Linked DNA regions of Danio rerio. The protein of the gene in region 2 purifies or fractionates together with the protein of the main gene of each other region. This does not show direct contact. Links are inferred from orthologs where the notes say so. Each region holds a gene or a part of one and is shown on either strand. Other genes may lie near its edges. The genes, in order: bcl7a and dpf1.

Region 1 (4,403 bases), on a different chromosome or scaffold from region 2:
GCATTTTAAGGTTCTGTTATAATGCTGCTTTGTGAGCTCTAACAAAACACAAAACATGTTAAACATCTTTGGTGTTTCCCACTACATGTTTTCTATAAAACCAAACCAAGGGTGGTCAAGGGTATTTGACATAATTAGCATGGGAACACAGGACATGGTCCTTGTCACTAAAACTGCTTATTTCTTTGGACTTAAACATTTTTGAAAGCATTACCAGAAAATAATAAAAAATATATAACACTATGAAAAGGCGACACGGTGGCTCAGTGGTTAGCACTTTCACCTCACAGCAAGAAGGTCACTGGTTTGAGTGCCAACTGGGTCAGTCGGCATTTCTGTCTGAAGTTTGCATGGTCTCCCCGTGTGGGCGTGGGTTTCCCCCACAGTCCAAAGACATGCGCTATAGGTGAATTGGGTAAGCTTAATTGTCTTTTGTGTGAGTGTTTCTGAGTTTGTATGGGTGTTTCCCAGTACTGGGTTGCAGCTAGAAGGGATCCGCTGTGTTAAAAATATGCTGGATAAGTTGATGGTTCATTCCGCTGTGGCGACCTCAGATTAATAAAGTGACAAAGCTGAAGAAAATTGAATAAATTAATAAATGAACATGTTCATTTACACGTTCATCTTACATGTTTTGCCTTTACATTGTTGGTTATGTTTTGGGTTAAATCATAGGCAAGTGAATGTGCAAATTAGCGTCTTTGCTAATAATGCACTCACATATATAACCTCTGCAATGTTAAAGACTATTTGGCTAAAATACATTATGATTTTCAAAATGTAGCAATCTTTTGATCTCAACAAACGTTACTCTTTCTCCTTTCAGGGTCTCTGTTGGAAAGTGTGCTTCCAGCTGAAATCACCATGGACGCATTTGCCTCAGATATATTGGGCTTTTCTGTCGCCACCCAGGAGCTCCATCAAGAACACCACGGACAGGAGTCATAATATATTTACATTTCCCTGCTTATGTTCATGCGTTGTCAATAAGTAATGTATTTTAAAACAGATGGACTGTTATTGTGTGGTTAGCGAGCTGTTGTGTTATATGTTTGCGTTCAATTCTTTCGCATAGAGATAAAATCATACGAAAATAAAACATGTCGTTTGTCAACATGCTGTCGATTGAAGTCTCCATTTTTTCCAGATACATTTATAAAACGTGTGTTGATGTCGTGGTGCTGGTTTCGATTCGCTCGTCTAGCTCAGCAATCTGATAAAATATCGTTTTCTTTGCTCTGTTCGCCAACAAAGGAGCGAAACGCGTACCCGCATTGACCGTGTCTCTCATGCTTCGAGGGCATTTGGCTTCAGCGCAGGCGCACAAACCCCGCCTCTCTCCTGTGCTGTGTGCATTCGCATTGTGTCTAAACAGGCAGCGAGCAAAAAGATATTTTACCAACAGCAGTAATGTCGGGCAGGTCGGTTCGAGCGGAGACGCGGAGCAGGGCGAAAGATGACATCAAGCGGGTTATGGCTGCAATTGAAAAAGTGCGGAAATGGTAAGAGAGAGCGTCTATCCGTTAACGAACAGCACAGACAGCCTGTGGGGGAGGAGAGACACCGAGAAACAATGAAATGAAAGCGAAGAGAGCGTTTATTCCACTCCAATTTCACTCAGATGTACTGTTTCTGCGATTCTGCGCGCGGCTGCTCCTTTGTCGGCTGTGTGAAAACATAGTTTGGGAAAATGTAGATCGCGTTTTTTCTTCCATTAAATTTTTATGTGGGTTGAACCTAGAAGCCATTTCGTTGCAGTCACATGAAGGCTTTGCTGTTAGAGCCTGTAATGCCGGCTGAATAGTAACCGAACGGGCTGACATGAGGAAACTAGAGTGAACCGTCCGTACCGAACAGAAAGTGCCGGTGAACGGGCGTTTGACTCGTTCATCTCGTGTTGAAAGTGAGAGAGTCGCGCTTTGAGCGGCGGCGCGTGAGGAGAGTTTGATCCACGCGCGGGGTTTTAAACTCAGCCCTGAGCCGCAGTTTCACATACACTTTTTTACACTTCAAGCAACTGCTGGGGATTTCGTTTAAACTTAAGTTTAAGTTGAATTAAGGGTTTTCAAACCATGACAAATTATTTGTTGGACTAACAATAATTACCAAAACAATATTTATTCTATAAAAGTATACATGTTAAATGAGAAACAATCGTGTTTTTGTGGCAACGTGCGATTAAAATTGTACACATCTGTGAGCTAGTGAACTGCATTATTATTAGTATTTATTTTTATGATAATAATTATTTACTATTGATATCGATAATTTGTTCAGTTGCATATTCTGCAAATGCATCTTGCCTAAATAATGGCTCATCTGAGATTTCTTATGCCTCTAAATGTAAGTGATTTAGTGGTTTGTCCTCATTTGTCTGGCGTTTCCTTTGTCTTTGATATCTAACAATAACATGCATCTCCAGGGAGAAGAAATGGGTGACTGTTGGTGACACGTCACTGCGAATCTACAAGTGGGTACCAGTGACGGAGCCCAAGTCAGATGATGTAAGTGACATTTATTTACAATAACGCACAGCTGTTGCAGTTTTGATAACCTAATAATTATTGTAACATTATGGACCACAACCAACAAATTCATTTGAAAGTTGGAACAAAATAGTCAAGGTAAAATATGACGCAAATGACTTTTTAATGAGTAATTCTATAGTTATTATTTTTTTAATTTAGTAAAGGTAAATTAGTAGTGGTATTCGTTGAGGGGGAAACATATTTCAGTTGTAGCATAACACAGACCAGTATTATTGTTTTTAACAGAGATTAAATTCATATTTATTTTAAATAAAATAAGTTAACTAAAATGAGTCGTATTTAAAACAGACACAACATATTTTACTATCTTCTTCATATGCCTTGATTGCAATATGTATTTATGTCACACAGAAGAACAAAAATAAGAAGAAAGGCAAAGATGACAAGTATGGCTCTGAGGTCACGACCCCTGAGAACAGCTCCTCTCCTGGAATGATGGATATGCATGGTAAAACTGTACACCTAAACACATCTCAATGTTTTACCTTTTTCAAATTAGTATTACATGCAGTAGTCTTTAAACCAATTTATGTGAGAATTTCAAATTGTGTTCTTTGTGATCCTCAAACAGTTGGTCTAATATGCATGACTAAGATTTTGAAGTGTTACCTGCTTTTTATTAGAAAAAAATCATTATTATAATTATTAATGATGGCAGCTTTGAATGTGCATTTTTTCCTCTTAACCAATAGAGGGAGTTGATGAAACAGTTTTACTCTGTGAACTGGTTATTTGCTATGCTATTCCGACCTGTAACCACCTATTAACAGTTACAAATGCATGGACATTTTCAGATATTAAAACTTTTTTTGTTTCTATTTTTTTACCCACAGATGACAACAGTAACCAGAGCTCGATTGCGGACTCTTCCCCATTGAAGCAGGAAACCAGCAACAACACTAGTCCAGCACCTGAGCCCATGGCCGCTTCTCAGAATGACAGCAGTGACTTGAAAAACGACCAGTATCCTTCCAAACAGCCTTCATCTGGTCAGGATCATAAGAGTGGTTTGTGCATTGAATCCTCTAGAGGCTTACTATCCACTTGTCTGTGTTTTTGGTTTGTTTGTTTTAATGAAACCTTGTCATTATTTTCAGAACAAAACCACTGCTCATCGGAGTCTATGACAAGCAAAAGGGACAGCAAGTCACAGGGGGATTCAGAAAGCTTTTTAGACTCTTCCAAATCGGCCCAGGTACATACATACAGCATCACTTGCATATTTATTCATAAATCAACAGTTTTAAAATAAGATTTAAAATAGTTTTTAAAATACATCCATATTGCTCAATGAGGTGTTTAATCCTAAATACAGCAAAACAGCTATATTGTGGATTAATGTTACATTTCATGATTCATATTTTATTTCATAGAACAAAGTAAAGTTGTTCCTAAACCTTTTATCCTAAAGCTAGAGATGTGCTGTTGTGAACCGAGGCTTCGAAGCATGTATCAAAAAATAATACATCTCGCAGTAAAGCAGTGTACCGGAGTTAAATTTGTTTTGCCATAATCACATGATCAGTGACGTACGAAGCTTTATTTTTACCCATACCCACATGACTGCTTTAAATTTTGATTTAAAGGTTTAAACATCCTTGCAGGTTAGGAAAGTGTATAGCGAGAGATGAGGTGTCGATTACTTTAATTTCTACTGCTTCAAAGCACTGCACCAGTGCCCCGCACAGACTAAAGTATAATAGTAATTTATAGTAAAAAACTTTTTAACCATACTAAAGTGTATTATTTTTTTTTTAGAAGGCCACTGCATATTGTAGTATAGTTTGTAACGGAGGCCAGCTGGCAAGTGCATAGCAAAAGCCTCACTTCCATAGCCTCCTCCTTAGAGCATTT
Region 2 (3,826 bases):
CTGACTAAGACCCTTCTCCCCCGATCACTCAGCTTAGATGGCCTAGGAAGAGCTCTAGGAAGAGTTCTGGTGGTTCCAAACATCTTTTATCTATGGATGATGGAGGCCACTGTGCTCATTGGAACCTTCCCCAGCCTTGCGCCTCGAGACAATCCTGTCTTGGAGGTCTACAGACAATTCCTTTGTCTTCATGCTTGGTTTGTGCTTTGACATGCACTGTCAACCCTGGGACCTTATATAGACAGGTGTATGCCTTTTCAAATCATGTTCAGTCAACTGAATTTACCACAGGTGAACTCCAATTAAGCTGCTGAAACATCTCAAGTGTGGAAACAGTGGAAACAGAATGTACTTGAGCTCAATTAAGAGCTTCACGGCAAAGGCTGTGAATACTTCTGTTCATGTGATTTTTCAGGTTTTTTATTTTTAATAAATTTGCAACAATTTAAAAATTTTTTTTTCACATTGTCATTATGGGGTATTGTGTGTAGAATTTTTCCATTTTGGAATAAGGTTGTGACATAAAAAGTCTTAACATACAAAATATAAAAAAGTGCTTTGAATACTTCCCGGATTCACTGTATATGACGGAATAAATAAAAGCGTTAATCAGAGGCAACATTCAGTTCCTTCCCTGCCAACTAGCTAGCAATTTTATGCAGGACAATTAACCTCATGACACAGCAAAACAAGTAAAGCAGTTCCTTAAAGTTTTATTCTTTAGGTGATGAATTAATCTATAGAAAGTTAAAGTTGAAAAGGAAAAGTTAGTTTTGGTAATCTTCCTTTTGCTTCTTTGTTTGGAGTGATGGTCTTTCTCTGATGAAGTCAGTTTGACAGCTTCAGCCACAATATTCTTAACCACGCCCCTCTTACTGTTAATTTGCTATGAGGGAATGATGCACTGAAAGCCCCACCCCCTACTCAATATTCCGTTTTAGTTGAAAGTACATGAACAGTAATACAGGGGTAAATAAATCTTTATTAACATTGGTAATAAAAGTCTCAACAACTTCCAGTTCACATGGATTTTCAAGCTATTAAGGCGATTGTGCTACCCACTGCACCACCATGCTGCCCCTGAAGTCATTCAAAGCAATTCAAATCTGTCATTTTTGCTTTAAATTATTTAAAACCTCATTGTTATTTTTGTGGGAATGACGATCATATTTTCTCATGTAACATCCTAATAAAACAAATGTATAAAAAAGAAAAGGTTACAGTAATGCCGTAATAAATGAATCTTTGTTAACATTGGTAATAAAAGTGTCAGCAACTTCCAGTTCACATAGGTTTTAAATAAAAATATTGACAATATGAAAGGACAGCCTAGAGTCCTGATTTACACTTGATTGAAAGTCCTTAATAGGATGTTAAGGTCATTTAAAGCTATTTAAATCTGTCATATCTGCTTTAAATTATTTAAAACCTCATCGTCATAAAACAAATGTATAAAAAAGACAAAGAATTTAAGTAATAAATTAATCTTTGTTAATATAAGTAATCAAAGTCTTAGCAACTTCCAGTTCAAATGGCTTTTTAAAAATACTGACAAAATGAAAGGACAGCCTAGAGTCCTGAACTAAACCTAATTAAAAATCCATGGTGAGATGTCATTCAAAGTTATTCAAATCTGTCATATCTGCTTTAAATTTTTTAAAGCCTCATTCTTGACACATAGGTGAAACCTACTGGTTTGAAGAATTTGAGAAAGTACAAGGATTTGAAATGGCAGTGAATTAGTATTTTGGTATTTTTGTCATGCTTAAAGGGTTAGTTCACCCAAAATTGAGAATTTGGTCATCATTTACTCCATTATTTACCCCATTATTGCTTCAAATCTTAAAGAGTTTATATATTTTTTTCTGTTCAGCATAAAAGAAGATATTTTGAAGAAAGCTGGAAACCTGTAACCATTGACTTCCATAGTATTTGTTTTTCCAACTATAGAAGTCAATGGTTGTTGGTTAATGGTTTCAAACATTTTTCAAAATATCTTCACCAGTGTTTAAAACAATAAAGACTCTCACAAAGGTTTGGAACCACTTGAGGGTAAGTAAATTTACATGTTTGGGTGAACTTTGTTTAATTAGAGCCTTTAATATGTCGTGAAATGTTTCATTTTGTGACAAGATTTTTGGTAAATAAACTATTGGTATACTGAATGACTTGTTAGTTTGCATCTTTAGTCGTGGCTAACTGATTTTCATAGTCATTATTTCATTGTTTAGAGAAAATAAAATGAAACAGGCCACAATCTCGTACATGAGAGGAAAAAAAATAACCTGTATTAAACTTAGATTGTTTTTGAAATGTTTCCAGCCTTGGTGAGGAGTTTTATCGTGAGGCGATTGAGCACTGCCGCAGTTATAATGCTCGACTTTGTGCCGAACGCTCCATGCGCCTGCCCTTCCTCGACTCCCAGACAGGTGTAGCACAGAGTAACTGCTACATATGGATGGAGAAGACTCACCGTGGGCCAGGTGTGTGTCTGTGTGTATCCTACTACACAGGTGACTTTAACATAAGTTTTGGGTTTTGGGTGTTTATGTGGCCACTCTGCATCTGTTTGACCCAGGTGTGGCTCCAGGGCAGCTCTATACCTATCCTGCACGGTGCTGGAGGAAGAAGAGACGGTTGAACATCTTAGAGGATCCACGTCTTGGACCCATCGAGTTTAAAATCGGTAAAATTAAACTAAATGTTTGATGTTTTTGTAAGTATGACAATCGTATTTTTCCACATATCATCCTAATAAAAAATGTATAAAAATTAAAACGGTTACAGAAATGCAGTAAGAAATGAATCTTTGTTAACAGTTAATGAAAATAAAGTCCTACATTGTTAGTTAGCTCACAGTGCATTAACTAATGTTAACAAGCCTAAAGATATTTTAATAATTCATTATTCTGTGTTGAACGATAACAAAAGGCAACACACTGTTATACTACATAAACTTATTATTCTCTTTCCATCTTTTTCTGAGACTAGTTTCTATATGCATCTCCTCCTAAACCATTCAAGTTACAAAGACCAAACTAACTGCAAACCTCCAAACTGCTCTGACTCGGGTTGCTATATCTTTTCCAACTTGTCAGAAAAAATGACCCGGAAGTTTCGGAAAAGTCCCATTGACTTAACATTAGACCAAACTATGTGACCTCATAACTCTGCTCCAGACTGTCATACAGAATTAAGTTTGGGCTCATTTAACTCAGACTACTAATCTGCCAATCAATGATATATTTTAACTTAGTAGCCACACCCTAGCAACCACTTACAGTACCCTAGCAACTGTTCCATAGACTTACATTGTAAAAAAATTGCCATTGACTTTACATTGAACATACTAAAGACATACAAATTCATAATAGCAATATACTAATCCATGCTAGAACTATGCTAATTCAAATTAGAATCATGCTAATTTATGTTAGCAACTGCCTAGCAGCCACTCAGAACACCCTAGCAACTTCCTAGCAACACCTTAGCAACTGCCTAGCAACCACTCAGAACATCTTAGCAACCGCCTAGCAATTAATCAGAACACCCTAGCAATGACTTAGAAACTGCATAGCAATCACTCAGAGCACCTTAGCAACTACATATCAACACCTTAGCAACCACTTAGAACACCCTAACAACCACCTAGCAACACCTTAGCAATGACCTGGAGTATCCTAGCAACCGCCTAGCAAAGCCTTTGCCACCACTCAGAACACCCTAGCAACTCCTTAGCAACTGCCTAGCAACCACTCAGGACACCCTAGCAACCACTCAGAAAATCCTAGCAACTGCCTAGCAACACCTTGCAACCACATAGCAA

What was found.
Region 1: the proteins of dpf1 (region 2) and bcl7a purify together in Homo sapiens (affinity purification with mass spectrometry; 3 studies listed by BioGRID and IntAct, counting the BioPlex papers as one, with this or other methods). This does not show direct contact. The link is inferred for Danio rerio from reciprocal best matches to the Homo sapiens genes DPF1 and BCL7A.

Annotation. Positions count from the first base shown.
Region 1 is NC_133180.1:42,613,739-42,618,141, forward strand, and holds the start of bcl7a (B-cell CLL/lymphoma 7 protein family member A), read left to right. Parts: upstream 1-1,345; 5' UTR 1,346-1,410; coding exon 1,411-1,502; exon of another isoform or gene 1,503-2,341; coding exon of another isoform or gene 2,342-2,343; intron 2,344-2,422; coding exon 2,423-2,504; intron 2,505-2,900; coding exon 2,901-2,997; intron 2,998-3,382; coding exon 3,383-3,538; coding exon of another isoform or gene 3,539-3,556; intron 3,557-3,646; coding exon 3,647-3,744; intron 3,745-4,403. Other genes in the region: cfap251 (cilia- and flagella-associated protein 251), read left to right, coding at 827-948.
Region 2 is NC_133190.1:16,350,372-16,354,197, reverse strand, and holds part of dpf1 (zinc finger protein neuro-d4), read left to right. Parts: intron 1-2,322; coding exon 2,323-2,483; intron 2,484-2,578; coding exon 2,579-2,686; intron 2,687-3,826. UniProt on the Homo sapiens protein: May have an important role in developing neurons by participating in regulation of cell survival, possibly as a neurospecific transcription factor. Belongs to the neuron-specific chromatin remodeling complex (nBAF complex).